Linked DNA regions of Arabidopsis thaliana. The protein of the gene in region 1 interacts with the protein of each later gene in a pairwise test. Each region holds a gene or a part of one and is shown on either strand. Other genes may lie near its edges.

Region 1 (3,825 bases):
ATTCCTCAGTTGCATCATGAAGGTTCGCCGCAGGTAGTGAAATTACTGGATGATGACTGCATGGATGGATGTCATATGAAATGTATTCCTAACAACAGAATTACTCCTTGTTTATGTCTATGTTAATTTTCCGTTTTCTTTTTTGAATAAGATATGTTTTCACTAATAATAAAACTTTGTTGCATAGTCCATACAAAAAATATTGAACATTATGTAAAAAAATTCAAAAAAGATAGTTAAGAACAAATTCAACATGGAAGAGGTGATGCCTAATTTTTCATCAAACCAGCCACCATTAGAATAATCACTAGGATGATATAAAAGCATATATATTGCCCACCAACTATAACTTATGAAGCTGTATATGTATGATCATGTGTGTAGCTGTTTTATATCATTTATTGGATCCAACGGTGGATCAATCCAACATAGAGTCCAAAAGAACCGGAACCGGAGAGAATGCCATGAACCGGTTTGTTGTTAGATACGTCTCATTTTCAGTATTTGATTTCTAGCTAAATAAGCTAGTCATGAACTTAAATCTCTAACGCCAACCATGCAATGAAACCAACTTTTCACATTTCAAATCGAACCCAAAGTCTTGTCGTCTACCGTGTAACAATAAATACCAAACTCACTACCTTTAAAATTCTCCTTTTTGAGACCAATTCGGATAAAACCAACAATCTCCTAAATGTTCACTTCCCAAATGTCGTAATCCATAAATCATACTCAAGAAGAAGGATTTAGACTATTAGGAGGTCATGTGCCAAAAATAACATAATACTAATGATAAATTAATCACAAATATTTAAGCACCATTTAGAATCATCAATCACAGTGGATTAGTGTTGGATTTGATTCTATTGAAATCCATGACTGAATAATACCCCTTAATGTGTAACGATTCAAAACTTTTTCTACAGAAAAAAAAAATTTGAAATCGAGACTAAACAAACTTAGGATAAAAAAATAGTCTTGAACATAGGTTTTCAAATTTGGTCCTCCAAAGAGATTAGGTTAGGTTTGGTTTACATTGGTTCACTAAAGCATGACAAGTACATAAACTGCCTTGCTGTAGTAACATGAAAACAAAGTCAGAGAGAAATCAAAACCCAAAACGATAAGACCCCATAGATAATGAACTGTCTAAAGACAAAACCTTTTGGCAAGATTTCTTGTCAGTTTGTTCCTGGATTCATATATATAAAGATCATTAGAAGTTTCATAGAGACAGAGAGACAAATTAAGTTGGGACTTTCATGAAAACTAGTAAAGAAAAACAAATAGTATAATTTTAACTCAAATACTATTTGTTTTTCTTTACTAATACTCTCGAAAGTCCCAACTCAAATACTAGTTGGACACACATGAAGCTACCAATCAGACCCAATGAAACTCAAAATCTTATCCTCCAAACACAGAAAAAAAGACTATGAATATGTTTGACTTTAGACAGCTAGAGTTTCAACTCAATTGACTAGGATGATCTAATCCTGATATCACATGAACCACAAATAGATGAAAGAGTAAGTTCTTGGCTTTAAGAGAGAGAGAGAGAGGTGACAAATGCATATGGCAGACCACAGTACATGTAATGCTTACCCTACAATAACTCAATGCTTGAACAAAAGAGAAAGGTTTTTTATATTCTGCACATGAGTGTACCATACTCTACCCCACTTCCTTGAATTAGGGCTACAGAGAAATGAATCTAGACCGTCCTCTAAAATCAAAGAAAGTATCTTTCTTTGTGTTGAAGATGAAAGTGTCCCACAAATGTCCCCAAAATGATGGGACACACTTTGCCTCAAAGTTGCTGCTACTGTTTACTACCCGACAGCTTTAGCTTTTGCCTTTGTCCTTAAATCAAGTTAATCCCATTTTTTCTAAATTACCAAAAAAGTGACTTTTCAATTCCTATAAAACAATCTTCTTCACAAAGCCTCTTATCTCATCAACAAGTCTTTCTCTCTCTCTAGACAACCACAAGAACACAAAACACACAAAAACAAAGAGGTTCTTTCTTTGAAGAAGAAATGGAAAAAGTTGATGTTTATGATGAGCTTGTTAACCTAAAGGCAACAGAGCTGAGATTGGGATTACCAGGGACAGAAGAAACTGTTTCTTGTGGAAAAAGCAACAAAAGAGTTTTACCTGAAGCTACTGAGAAAGAGATTGAATCCACTGGAAAAACTGAAACCGCTTCTCCTCCAAAGTAAGTGTTTGAATCAAATACAACTTCTCTGAAAATGTGTGTTGAGTTGTGAATCTGATCTAATCTAATCTATGCTATTTCTTGTTTTATAGGGCTCAGATTGTTGGATGGCCACCAGTTAGATCTTACAGAAAGAACAATGTTCAGACAAAGAAGAGTGAATCTGAAGGTCAAGGAAACTATGTGAAAGTAAGTATGGATGGTGCTCCATATCTAAGGAAGATAGATCTAACGATGTATAAACAATATCCAGAGTTGATGAAATCACTTGAAAACATGTTTAAATTCTCTGTGGGAGAATATTTTGAGAGAGAAGGATATAAAGGCTCAGACTTTGTACCTACTTATGAAGACAAAGATGGTGATTGGATGCTTGTTGGTGATGTTCCTTGGGAGTAAGTACAAATTTTCATTTATCTCTCAAATTAGTTAACTTATGACACAATCTTGTTTATGTATTTATGGTGTTTTGTTGTTATTGCAGGATGTTTGTTTCGTCTTGTAAGAGGCTAAGGATCATGAAAGGATCTGAAGTTAAAGGTTTAGGTTGTGGTGGTCTTTAACAAACCTAATTGAGAGATAAAGATCAAAGAGAAAGATTCAAAAACAGAGTTTTTTGTTCTGTTTCTTGAAACAGAGTAAATATAGCTCTGAAACTGCTCGGGTTCTTGGGGAGAGATGTTTCATACAATCATACTTTGTGAATGTTTACCTCATCGGTAAAAAGAGAGATGCTTAAAATGGTCTTAAGCATAAAAGTGTGAGAAAGATCTAAATCTAAACTTTAGCTGTAACTCTGTCTCCATTAAAGAGAAAGGTTTTGTGGTATTAGAAAGATCTAATCTGAAGATTATCTTTGTGTTTTTCACTTTTTATAATGTTCTTATCGAACAACTTTGATGTTTTTGATGTAATTACCCATTTTTCTGTTCTGTTTCTCTTCAAATTAAGATCTGTCTTTACAAAACTGTAACACAGAACATTAAACCTAACTTGTAGATGAACACAACGAAGACAAATCATTAAACCAAAGCTGCTTTATGGTAAAAATAATAATCCCAGCTTCTAAACATATATCATTGGATTCTAGTTTCTTTAAACTTAGATTATACATGTTTAGTCACCAAGATTAAAGAAATAAGAAATCTAATCGAGCAGTGAGAATATTTTTGGGGCTTTGGAAATGTTTATATTATCTTTTGTTGTTACCAACTGTGACTTTGGTCCCCCATACCTTAAACAAGTAAATCTACCCAACTGTGCTAATTTGTCTCCACTATCACTTATAATAATCTATGAACCTTGGAACTAGAGTAATATTTTAAAATGGTATAGATAGGTTCATTGAATTTAGGTTTTTCCTTTGTGCACCAACAATTTTTACATTCATACCTAATGTTCTTGATGCAAGATGATTATTAAGTCAAGAATTTTACCAAATACTTAAACCTAGTTGTCTCGATGATGATGATGATGATTATGATGAGACAACAATCGATCAACAAAAGAAGGATTCAAGATTCTTGATGAGATTGGAAAACTGAATCTATATTTCTAACAAAAGTTTTTGTAATCTTCTTCTGTGGAACATATATATAAATGAGAGA
Region 2 (3,491 bases), about 15 Mb from region 1:
ACAATCAGCTTCAAAACAAACAAACATTATATATCACATTTGACTCCACTCAAGAAGATTGTTTCACAAAGTAAATGGTGGTACTCGAAACATCAATAGGGCAGTACGGTCATAATGCTGGAAACAATTGTATCTGAGAAACAAGAGAATCCATTATGTAGCATACCAGACTTTCTAGGTTGTCGAATTCTGCTAAGATCTCTTCTTCATCTTCCGCTGATAGTTTCTCACCTAATATGGCACTCAGTTCCTAAAATCAAAGTGTTTAACAGTTAGATCAAGCAAGGGAATACTCATAACCATGAAGGAGAAAAACAAGGAGAAGCTCGGCAAATGTGACAAATGATTGTAACTATAAGCGAACCACACAAACAAAAAGGAACAACAAGATTCACTATTAACTCACATCCTGATAAGCCTTGGCCTCGGCAGTGTCATCCATCAGTTTTTGAACATCATCAAGGTTGACCTCGCTCTGAATCGCCTTAATTGCATTGTTACCTTGCTTTAAGCTCTCAAAGACTGCTTTTTGCTTGCTTGTAAGTTCGATATCTGCCAACTGAGTCATAAAGACAGGTTCAAAATATATTCGTTTATGTTTCTTTCAAAACATAAAATCAGCTATAAAAGAAAAGAAAAGTACTGTTTATATAGCACTAAGGTTATGTGATGGAAACAAGGAGATGATAAGAAGAAGGTCAAGCCAATTTACTTGTTGTTCGACATTGATGAGCCACTGATCTACTTGCTTCAACAACTCTTCTTGTGTCCGTTTTTTCTTCAATGCTAACAAAGCCCTGTCCTTTCGCTTCTCACGGATTAAGTCTCTTGCAGCTTGCTTTTCTGCTTCAATTACTTTCTCAAGCTAAAAAGAAAGGTTTAAGAGAAAGAAAGGTCAAAGCTCAGGATCATAGGAAAGAAAAAAAAAACATTTGCATTCCACTTTCTCAGCGATCAAACTCACTATCTACCAATAGTGGCGATGAAATAATTAAACCATCATTAGCTTGACATAAGAATCAACATTTGGATCCAAGACAGATTCTGAAGGCAACTTCTACATTTAACTGCTTCTTAAACCTCGAGAACCCATAGCCGAAATTCAGTAACCTTTACCCTTATTCATAACCATTAGTGAATCGAATCAAACTGCACTTTCTGTCTCAGACCAAATTCGAGCAAGAATAAACCCTAGAAATGCGAAATCACAAGGCGAAGGAATCAAGAACCTGTTGCTGATATTGACCAAGCTTGCGCCTTTGGGTTTTGAGAGAGAGAATCGCTCGATCAACCTCCGTGATCTTCGGTTTCTTCACGAATAAATTCCCCATCGAGTTTTGTCAAGGGTTCGGCGATTTCAAACCAAGTCCAAATCTTTTTGTTTTCACCTTTCCCAAGCAAAAAAGCTCCCGCGTTTTCTCAAATTCGCGTTTATAAAAAAGCGTTCCGAATCAAAACAACTGTCACAGTTCTAATTTTATCACACGCTCTGCAACAGCGCGTGGTCGGTGAACACATTAACATAAATACGCGAGAAGAGACGCGCCGATTCATTTTTCTTCAGAATCTCTCAATTCTCTTTTGTCGATTTCGCAGTAGAAGAGTCCTTTCGCCGTCTCCGAGAAACTCGTTGCAGCGTCACGACCAGGTTTCCTTCTCACTTTTACTAAATTTTGTAATTGCTCGGTTTTTTGTTTAGTGCGAGTTTACTCTGGTCTGAAGAGAACATTTTGGGTCTGCTTATTTACAGTTGGAGAAAATGTCTTCTAGAGGAAAAAGGAAAGACGAAGATGTCAGAGCATCAGATGACGAATCTGAAACCCACGCGCCGGCTAAGAAAGTCGCAAAGCCAGCAGACGATTCCGACCAGTCTGACGATATCGTCGTCTGCAACGTTAGTCTACACTTTCTGTCTATCTTTCAATTTCGTTATCTACTCTATTAGCAGTGAGCTTATGGGTTTCGGTCAAGTTTTAATTTTGTTGATGTGTTTTGCTCAAAATTAGGGTTTTAATCAAATTAGGGTTCATGTTGGTTATACATCAGATATCTAAGAATAGGAGAGTCTCTGTAAGGAATTGGAACGGGAAGATTTGGATTGACATTCGTGAGTTCTATGTCAAGGACGGAAAGACTTTGCCTGGCAAGAAAGGTAACTTTATTTTGTAATTTAAACCAATGCCCCTTGGCTCTCATAATTCATTATTTCTAGTAATGTGTTTCCTCATCTCTTAGTTTTATATTTCGTTACTGTTTTGCTTTGTTAAGTTTCTGCATTTAGTCAGGTTTATAGAATTGCATATCTTAGGGTTTTATAATAGGCAATTCTGCTTATTGAGACTGTTTATGGACTTGTAAGTATGAGCGGAGATGGTGCAGAGTGTTTGCTTTTGTACAACAACGTTTTGTTTATTTTGGTGCTATTGCTCCTTCATGTCTTTCTCTAGAGACAGCTATATTAGTTTATCTCTACATAACTAATCATGTTGACAAGATTATCTCTATGTTTGTTATACGTTGCAGGTATCTCTCTAAGCGTGGATCAGGTACTCACATCTCTTTCTATCTCTCTCCACTGTTTTATGTCTCCTAGAAGTGTTTCTGTTTTCTTGTTATTTGCTTATTACACAGCTTTTCCTTAATGCAGTGGAACACTCTTCGGAACCACGCAGAGGATATCGAGAAGGCCCTCTCTGACCTTTCTTAGGTTTTAAAACTTGTATCATTGGTTGTACGTCTATTAGAATATGGCTCAGTTGTTTTGGTTGTTTTTGTAGAACAACACCATGTTCTGCTAGTGTAAGCTGCTTCAAATTAGTTGGTGTATGGAATCTTTCACTTTTGGTTCAGACAAGCTTTGGTTGGTATTAAGAATATAATGATTGCTCTTTTATTTACTGCTGTAGTGCTGTTTTATTTGCAAATTAAGATACGTTGCAGGAATACAAGTATTCATTTGATAAGTTATAAACAAGATAGGTCTAAATGTTACATAGCTCTTGCCAAACTTCACTTGATCCGGACAAGGCCATAAGCAGACATTGTCTTTGAAGATGAACCCATCACAATAAATGTATCACTCTGTGTTGCTACTTTCATTGCTATAGTTGCTCTTTTCCAAAGAATATTTACCTTCCCAAAAAACTCCCCCGTTTTAAGTTTGGCCGCGCGTGTTCTCAAACTGTGCGCTTGTAAAATGGCGTTCCGAATCTGATATCACAGTTGTAATTCGGTGAACGCAGTAGATATATTACGCGAGAAAAGGAGAGAGGTGCTTTTTATTTAACTTGAGAATCTCAAGAGTCAATTTTTGCAGTAGAAGAGTGTTTTTTTTAGAGGTTAAGAAAATGTCTGAGAACGGAAAAAGGAAAGACGAGGATGTCAGAGCATCAGACGACCGCGACGAATCTGAGACCCACGCGCCGCCTAAGAAAGTGGCAAAGCCAGCGGACGAGATTGAGGACATCTTCATCTGCAATGTTAGTCTCTCT
Region 3 (7,534 bases), 2.9 Mb from region 1:
AATAAAATCTTTATAAGTTAATATCAGTATACATTAATAAAATAGCATGGTACTAACATTATCAATTTATAGATGTTTTATTGTATTATTGATGAGTAAATATGCATATTTATGTCCACTGAAAATAATTAATTGATAAATTTAAAATATATTGAAATTATAGTAATCTTAATTTTAAATTTAATTTCATGTAATAGTATTTGTTTTGTGCCCATGATGATGAGCCCATATAATTTGACATCATGTTGTTTTAAAAAATCAATCGTTGAGTTATATAAATGATTGCGACGTATCGCACGATATTACCATCGATAGAACGAAGGAAACTTCCATTTAGCAGTTTTTTTTATTCAAAAAACATATCTTTCATATAATAGAAGTGGAAAAGTTACACCAAGGAAAATTGAACCTACAATCGAAATAAATGAGATAACAAAAGTATTACAATAAATTTATTGAAAGACACCAAACCAGATGAATGATCCGTTGAGCTATCCAACAAGGGTCTAGATGACATTGAAGAATGTTAATGATAAATAATGAGAACTGAGGCTGGCTTTGAGGATGAATTATGCAATCTTGCATTGCGCTTTTTTCCATATGGAGTACAGTGAGGCTTGATAGGCAATTCGAAGAATCAAAGTAGTTTTCTTGTCACGACAAGGATTCTTCAACCATCTAACTTCATCCTCAAATTGATTTAGAGGAGAAAGATGGGCTTTATCATAGAAATAGTGTCATACCTTTGCAACATAAGAGCAGTCGAAGAATAAATGTTAGCGAGATTCATCCATCAAATTACAGAGAAGACACGACGAAGGAGTAGTCATGCCCCATCGAATCATTTTGTCTCTAGTGAGAAGTCTATGATGAGACTTTAGCCAAGCAATGAAAGCATGCTTAAGAATCCTTCCTGGAAATCACACAGATTCAAACCGATCCATCTTTGTGTCAGGAGGATGAAGATGTGCATAAGTTTTTTTTTGAATATTAATGTGCCTAAGTTTTAGCAGCAGAGAAAATATTTGATGCATGGATATCATCACCTTCCAAAGGTAAACATCATCCTCTACATCCTCTTGTAAGTTAACAGTAGAATAGGAAGGAAGACATTCTTTAAGCAACTGAATAATGGGACTGCGACTTCGAGAATTTGTAAGCCACTATTGTCTCTTTCTCAATGCATCCGCAACCACAACAGAACGAGGGAGAAGAGAAATTCTTAGTCATAAATCTTCAGGTTAGCTCGACAAATATGGTCCCAAAAAAATCCAATTATCAGTCCAGAAATTACAAGTTATTTCTGAACCAATTTCACAAACGATGAAAAACCTAGTTAAGGGTCTTAACTTGCAAAGATTATTCCAAATCCAGCTTCTCCAAGTGATACACTCCATATCCCAAATTTTTTAAAAATTATTCAAACAAGATCCATGTGTATTAGTTTTCTCTTTTGGTAAGTAAAATAGTGGTATCCATAAGATGTTGGATTATCGGGCATCTATTTGCTAATGATTGTTTCTAAATTAGAACTTAGATTTGCGAATCTAATAATACATCACTTATCAATAGATAAACCTTTGACCATTTTTTCAACGAACTCATAAAAGATCCAACAAAATATTTTTTGAGTTATTAAATTAAATACTACTATAAATTATCTTTAAATAAATCAAATTATGGGAGTATTTGGTGTTTCTTTCATCAATGAATGGAGCAAAAATAAAAAGTATTTAAAATAAACAACGCTAACATTTATGACAACTCTATTATCTCTCTCTCACTCTCTCACTTCAAATACTATAATTCATTGTCCTTTTCATCGAATCCAAGACCTCAAAAAAAACAATTATTATTTTTCAACGATCAAGATCTCAAGAGTCAAATCCAACGGTCAAAAAGAAGTGACTCTGGTACTGACACCACCTCTCATAATTCTCGTTAGTAGGACCTCTCTTCTTCTTCCTTCTCTCCACTGTATCGGATCCGGGTCAAATCCGGGTCGGGTGGAGTCGGGTCGGGTCTCTTATAAGAGGAGGAAAACCACTTACTCACTTTCTTCTTCTTTTCTCTCTCTCTTTCACCCCCACGCACTCTTCTTTTCTCTCTCTGACACATATCTTTTTCTCTCACTAACCATTTCTTTCTCTCTCTCTCTTCTGTTTTTGAAAGCCAAAGTGTCTCTCTTGGACAGTGATGGAACTGCTTCAAGAGATTTAATTTTTTACCCACGAGAGAAGTCAAGTTGTTGAAGAAGAAAGATTTGTTCTTTTGTCTTGTTTCTTTCATTTTTTCATCCACAAAGATCTCAAAGACAAGAGTTTTTTTTTTTCTGTTGGGGTTGCTTCAATGCGTACTTGTAGTAGAGAGCTTGTGTTGTTGTTCATGGTTTGATGATGAGAAGAAACAGATTCTGGTTTTGAAGAAATGGGGTTTGTTCTGTTTCTTGTGTTTAAGGGTTTTATGGATGGTTTTTTGATTCGAAGCTTTCACTGAGTCTTATGGTTGTGAGTGAGATTTTTGGGGGTTTGAACAAAGGAGATGGAGAAAGACGAGTTTGTACTTCCGGAGCTAAAGAGTTATAGCTACTGTAGTAGCTGGAAGTGAAGAAGATTTTTTAATAGATTGTACGGAAAAATTAGGGTTTTCAAAGTTTGGTTTCTTGAAGTTGAATTAGACATGAAGCTGTCAACATCTGGATTGGGTCAACAGGGTCATGAAGGTGACTTGTTTACTCTCTGATTTTCTTAGTTCTGTTTCTGGACAAGTGTTTTCTTAGTTCTTGTGTCTGTGTTTGTTCTAACAGGAGAGAAGTGTCTGAATTCTGAGCTATGGCATGCTTGTGCTGGACCATTAGTCTCTCTTCCATCATCTGGTAGTCGAGTTGTTTACTTTCCACAGGGTCACAGTGAACAGGTTTGGGTTGTTGTTTAAAAGTATGGAGCTTTATTTTTAGACTTGTGTTATATTTGGGCATTTCCATTTAAATAGAAGTGTACTTGTAGGTAGCTGCTACAACTAATAAGGAAGTTGATGGTCACATACCCAATTACCCAAGCCTACCACCACAATTGATATGCCAGCTCCATAATGTTACAATGCATGTGCGTAGTTAGTTCCCTGTCCCTTTCCATATTCAATTTTTACTTTTGTAAACTAGTTTTGGGATGATGTGCTTTGTAAGTATGGGTTTCGTTTCTACTATTTCAGGCAGATGTTGAGACGGATGAAGTCTATGCTCAAATGACACTTCAACCATTGACACCGGTAGATACATTATACATAACAGGTTTTTGAGTCTGTGAATTAATAACTTAAGCTTTAGGATTGGTGTTGTTTATAGGAGGAGCAGAAGGAAACATTTGTACCGATTGAGTTGGGGATACCGAGTAAGCAACCTAGTAATTATTTTTGTAAGACTCTCACAGCTAGTGATACCAGTACACATGGAGGGTTTTCTGTTCCTAGACGTGCTGCTGAGAAAGTGTTTCCTCCATTGGTATTATACTTTTTCTTTTACTTACTTTGCTATAAATTGTTGTTGAGAAAATATATGTATTCCTTTTAATATCTTGTGTCTTCCCTGTTGCAGGATTACACACTGCAGCCACCAGCTCAAGAACTGATTGCAAGGGATCTCCATGATGTTGAATGGAAGTTTAGGCATATCTTTCGGGGTAGGTTTCACCTTTCCTCGGTGTGCGTTGATGATCCCTTTTTAACTGTAGTCGCCAGTGTAAAAATTTCAATTGGCTGTTAAGTATGTCTGAAGCAGCATCTGCTGTTATTTTCACTACTCATGTGTGGTTTAGTTGAAGAAACCACGGAGGCTCTGTGTTCTTGTCGTTGTCTATTATAACGTGGAATTATTTACTTGTTCATATGAAGTTAAGTTGATTTGAATCCTTCTTCTTGGTTTGTTAGGAATAACTTACATGGTTTTGGTGTGATTATGCAGGACAGCCCAAACGGCATCTCCTAACTACTGGATGGAGTGTCTTTGTCAGTGCCAAGCGACTAGTAGCTGGAGATTCTGTCATTTTCATCAGGTTTAGTTCTTTTGTTGTACGTTCAGTTTGTGGATTGTGATTATATTTGTAACACTATTACTTGTTTCCAGGAATGAAAAGAATCAACTCTTTTTGGGAATTCGTCATGCCACTCGGCCGCAGACTATTGTACCATCATCTGTTTTATCTAGTGATAGCATGCATATTGGACTCCTTGCTGCTGCTGCACATGCTTCTGCAACTAATAGCTGTTTCACTGTTTTCTTTCATCCAAGGTTGAAAAATCTCTCCCACCTGCATCTTTTTCATCTCTCGGTATATCCGATAATATATCCTACTAATATTCTCTTCATGTTCAGGGCTAGCCAATCTGAGTTTGTGATACAACTTTCCAAGTACATTAAAGCCGTTTTTCACACGCGTATTTCAGTTGGGATGCGCTTTCGCATGCTCTTCGAGACAGAAGAGTCGAGTGTCCGCAGGTGATGATGCCACATATCTGGAAATGCAATCTTGAAACTGAGAAAACTATATCATTATGTTACACATATTACTTTAACATGTTTTCTGACAGTGGCATGGGGAACTTTCCAGGTACATGGGTACTATAACTGGTATTAGTGATCTAGATTCTGTTCGTTGGCCAAACTCTCATTGGCGATCTGTGAAGGTAACAACACTATTAAGCCTGTTACCTTATTTAAATTCCATGGAACGTCACACAGCTTTCTGATGATTTAGTCCAATATTACTCTGAAATTCCATCAACATTGATGAACTGTGGCATTATTGGTGTAGGTTGGTTGGGATGAATCGACTGCAGGGGAGAGACAGCCAAGGGTTTCTTTATGGGAGATTGAGCCTCTGACTACCTTTCCTATGTATCCATCTCTTTTTCCTCTCAGACTAAAACGTCCATGGCATGCTGGCACATCATCTTTGCCTGGTATCCACCTTTTGGCTCTTCTCCTAACTGTTATTAACTAGTATAGTACGTTCGTGAAGTCTCTTACTGTCACTCAGTGTTTCTGCTATTGTAACTTAGTTGCTACTTCGGATAAATAACAAATGTTCGATTGAGTAGAGCTCTGAAGAGGGTCTTACTGTTATAATTTATTTACAAAGAAGTGTGTAGGTACTCTCCATAGCTATTTACTCAAAACATTATGATGTTACAGATGGAAGGGGTGATTTGGGAAGTGGTCTAACATGGCTAAGAGGGGGAGGTGGAGAGCAGCAAGGTTTGCTTCCTCTAAATTATCCATCTGTTGGTTTGTTTCCATGGATGCAACAAAGGCTGGATCTCAGTCAAATGGGGACTGATAATAATCAGCAATACCAAGCAATGTTAGCTGCTGGGTTGCAGAACATCGGCGGTGGAGATCCTTTAAGACAGCAGTTTGTACAGCTGCAAGAGCCTCACCACCAATATCTTCAACAATCAGCTTCCCATAATTCTGATTTGATGCTTCAGCAGCAACAGCAGCAACAAGCGTCACGCCATCTCATGCATGCTCAAACACAGATTATGAGTGAGAATCTTCCGCAGCAGAATATGCGACAAGAAGTTAGTAACCAACCAGCTGGACAGCAGCAACAGCTACAGCAACCGGACCAAAATGCATATCTTAATGCTTTCAAAATGCAAAATGGCCATCTTCAACAGTGGCAGCAGCAATCAGAGATGCCATCTCCCTCGTTCATGAAGTCAGATTTTACTGACTCAAGCAACAAATTTGCAACAACTGCTAGTCCGGCTTCTGGAGATGGCAATCTTTTGAATTTTTCTATAACCGGTCAGTCTGTACTCCCTGAGCAGTTAACAACAGAGGGCTGGTCTCCAAAAGCATCCAACACTTTTTCTGAACCGTTGTCACTTCCACAAGCCTATCCTGGGAAGAGTCTTGCTCTAGAACCCGGAAATCCGCAGAATCCCTCTCTTTTCGGTGTTGATCCCGACTCTGGACTCTTCCTCCCCAGTACGGTTCCCCGCTTTGCTTCTTCATCAGGAGATGCTGAAGCTTCCCCTATGTCACTAACAGATTCAGGATTTCAGAATTCCTTATATAGCTGCATGCAAGACACAACTCATGAGTTATTGCATGGAGCTGGACAGATTAACTCGTCCAACCAAACCAAGAACTTTGTAAAGGTGCTGGTTTGTTCTAGGCTCACCGACTTCTCTGTGGCTCTACTGTCTCTAAGAAAATACTGATATGCTTACAAATCCAAAACTGCAGGTTTATAAATCTGGTTCGGTTGGGCGTTCATTAGACATCTCCCGATTCAGCAGCTACCACGAGCTGCGAGAAGAGTTAGGGAAGATGTTTGCTATCGAAGGGTTGTTGGAAGACCCCCTTAGATCAGGCTGGCAGCTTGTATTCGTTGACAAGGAAAATGATATTCTTCTCCTTGGTGATGACCCATGGGAGTAAGTAAAGTACTCTTCTTCTATTTGTATACATTGCTTTAGATTTGAGATAGATCTTTAAAAGCTTGTTCTGCAGGTCATTTGTGAATAACGTTTGGTACATAAAGATACTATCACCAGAAGATGTGCATCAAATGGGAGATCATGGAGAAGGCAGTGGTGGGTTATTCCCGCAAAACCCGACCCATCTCTAGAAGCTGCTTCGGTGTTAGTCTCATCATGCTACAACGCGGGAGCCCTTTGTTTCCCATTTGAAGTCGTTTCCACTCATCTTTATATGCCATTCGTTCGCATCTCTCTCGTTTTGACGTTTTTAGAAAGAAACATAATCATATTTGTGAGTATGGGTCCTGAAACTTTAGGACGTACTTTAGCTTGTATTAGACAGACACTCTCGTCATAAACATAAGAACCTTTATGTAGCTGTCTCAGGGTAACTAAACTTTTCTAGTATTTATTCTTATTCTATTTTTGTAACAACATTGTTAGACATTCAGTTTGGTCAGACCAATTAGATTCCATAAGGTGTGAAACCAAAACCAACCAAATCTTTAAAACACAACCATTAATCACAAAATGTTACCAAAAGCTTCTACTAGTAACTTAGGTTGAAGAATGACATAGATGAAGTACCAACAACTCATTTTCTCCCTTTCTTTTTGACCCAAAGAGTACTTAAACGTGCACACACATCAGACTTATCAACCTTGGACAGCATTCATGGCATCTCTCAATCTCTTATCATCTTTAGCATCATAGAAGCATTTACGTCTCTTCGAGTCACTTATAAGGTTTGCCCAAATCGAACCACTCCGAGCCAGTGTTGACTCATTTCCAATCACCCATAAACAGTGCCTAGCTCGAGTGAGTGCCACATTGGCTCTTTGACGGTTACTGAGAAATCCAACCTTCCCGTTACTATTACTTCTAACGGTAGAGATGATGATAATGTCTTCTTCACCACCTTGAAACCCATCTACAGACCGAACATTCACAGTGAAAAGCTCACCTGATAAGGAACTGTACTTATCTCTGATTCTCTCTTGGATTGCTCTAACTTGTCCTTTGTAAGGAGTAATCACTCCAACACTCA

The links.
Region 2: the proteins of ATAUX2-11 (region 1) and KIWI interact in binary tests that used the Arabidopsis thaliana proteins (3 or more experiments, as listed by UniProt).
Region 3: the proteins of ATAUX2-11 (region 1) and ARF8 interact in a two-hybrid assay, tested with the Arabidopsis thaliana proteins (2 studies listed by BioGRID).

The regions. Positions count from the first base shown.
Region 1 is NC_003076.8:17,548,426-17,552,250, forward strand, and holds ATAUX2-11 (AUX/IAA transcriptional regulator family protein), read left to right. Parts: upstream 1-1,753; 5' UTR 1,754-2,039; coding exon 2,040-2,218; intron 2,219-2,310; coding exon 2,311-2,613; intron 2,614-2,702; coding exon 2,703-2,781; 3' UTR 2,782-3,290; downstream 3,291-3,825. Other genes in the region: AT5G43695 (uncharacterized protein), read left to right, coding at 1-126. UniProt on the Arabidopsis thaliana protein: Aux/IAA proteins are short-lived transcriptional factors that function as repressors of early auxin response genes at low auxin concentrations.
Region 2 is NC_003076.8:2,874,637-2,878,127, reverse strand, and holds KIWI (ssDNA-binding transcriptional regulator), read left to right. Parts: upstream 1-1,518; 5' UTR 1,519-1,648; intron 1,649-1,750; 5' UTR 1,751-1,759; coding exon 1,760-1,894; intron 1,895-2,006; coding exon of another isoform or gene 2,007-2,046; coding exon 2,047-2,152; coding exon of another isoform or gene 2,153-2,169; exon of another isoform or gene 2,170-2,523; coding exon 2,524-2,642; 3' UTR 2,643-2,647; coding exon of another isoform or gene 2,648-2,707; 3' UTR 2,708-2,940; downstream 2,941-3,491. Other genes in the region: VPS20.2 (vacuolar protein sorting-associated protein 20.2), read right to left, coding at 1-8, 167-250, 407-559, 713-865, 1,230-1,331; AT5G09240 (ssDNA-binding transcriptional regulator), read left to right, coding at 3,348-3,479. UniProt on the Arabidopsis thaliana protein: General coactivator that functions cooperatively with TAFs and mediates functional interactions between upstream activators and the general transcriptional machinery. Binds single-stranded DNA.
Region 3 is NC_003076.8:14,627,472-14,635,005, forward strand, and holds ARF8 (auxin response factor 8), read left to right. Parts: upstream 1-1,981; 5' UTR 1,982-2,679; coding exon 2,680-2,722; intron 2,723-2,806; coding exon 2,807-2,916; intron 2,917-3,005; coding exon 3,006-3,104; exon of another isoform or gene 3,105-3,210; coding exon 3,211-3,267; intron 3,268-3,343; coding exon 3,344-3,499; intron 3,500-3,592; coding exon 3,593-3,677; intron 3,678-3,958; coding exon 3,959-4,049; intron 4,050-4,120; coding exon 4,121-4,285; intron 4,286-4,369; coding exon 4,370-4,492; intron 4,493-4,604; coding exon 4,605-4,680; intron 4,681-4,808; coding exon 4,809-4,956; intron 4,957-5,188; coding exon 5,189-6,162; intron 6,163-6,250; coding exon 6,251-6,441; coding exon of another isoform or gene 6,442-6,445; intron 6,446-6,517; coding exon 6,518-6,635; 3' UTR 6,636-6,983; downstream 6,984-7,534. Other genes in the region: AT5G37030 (P-loop containing nucleoside triphosphate hydrolases superfamily protein), read right to left, coding at 7,143-7,534. UniProt on the Arabidopsis thaliana protein: Auxin response factors (ARFs) are transcriptional factors that bind specifically to the DNA sequence 5'-TGTCTC-3' found in the auxin-responsive promoter elements (AuxREs). Seems to act as transcriptional activator.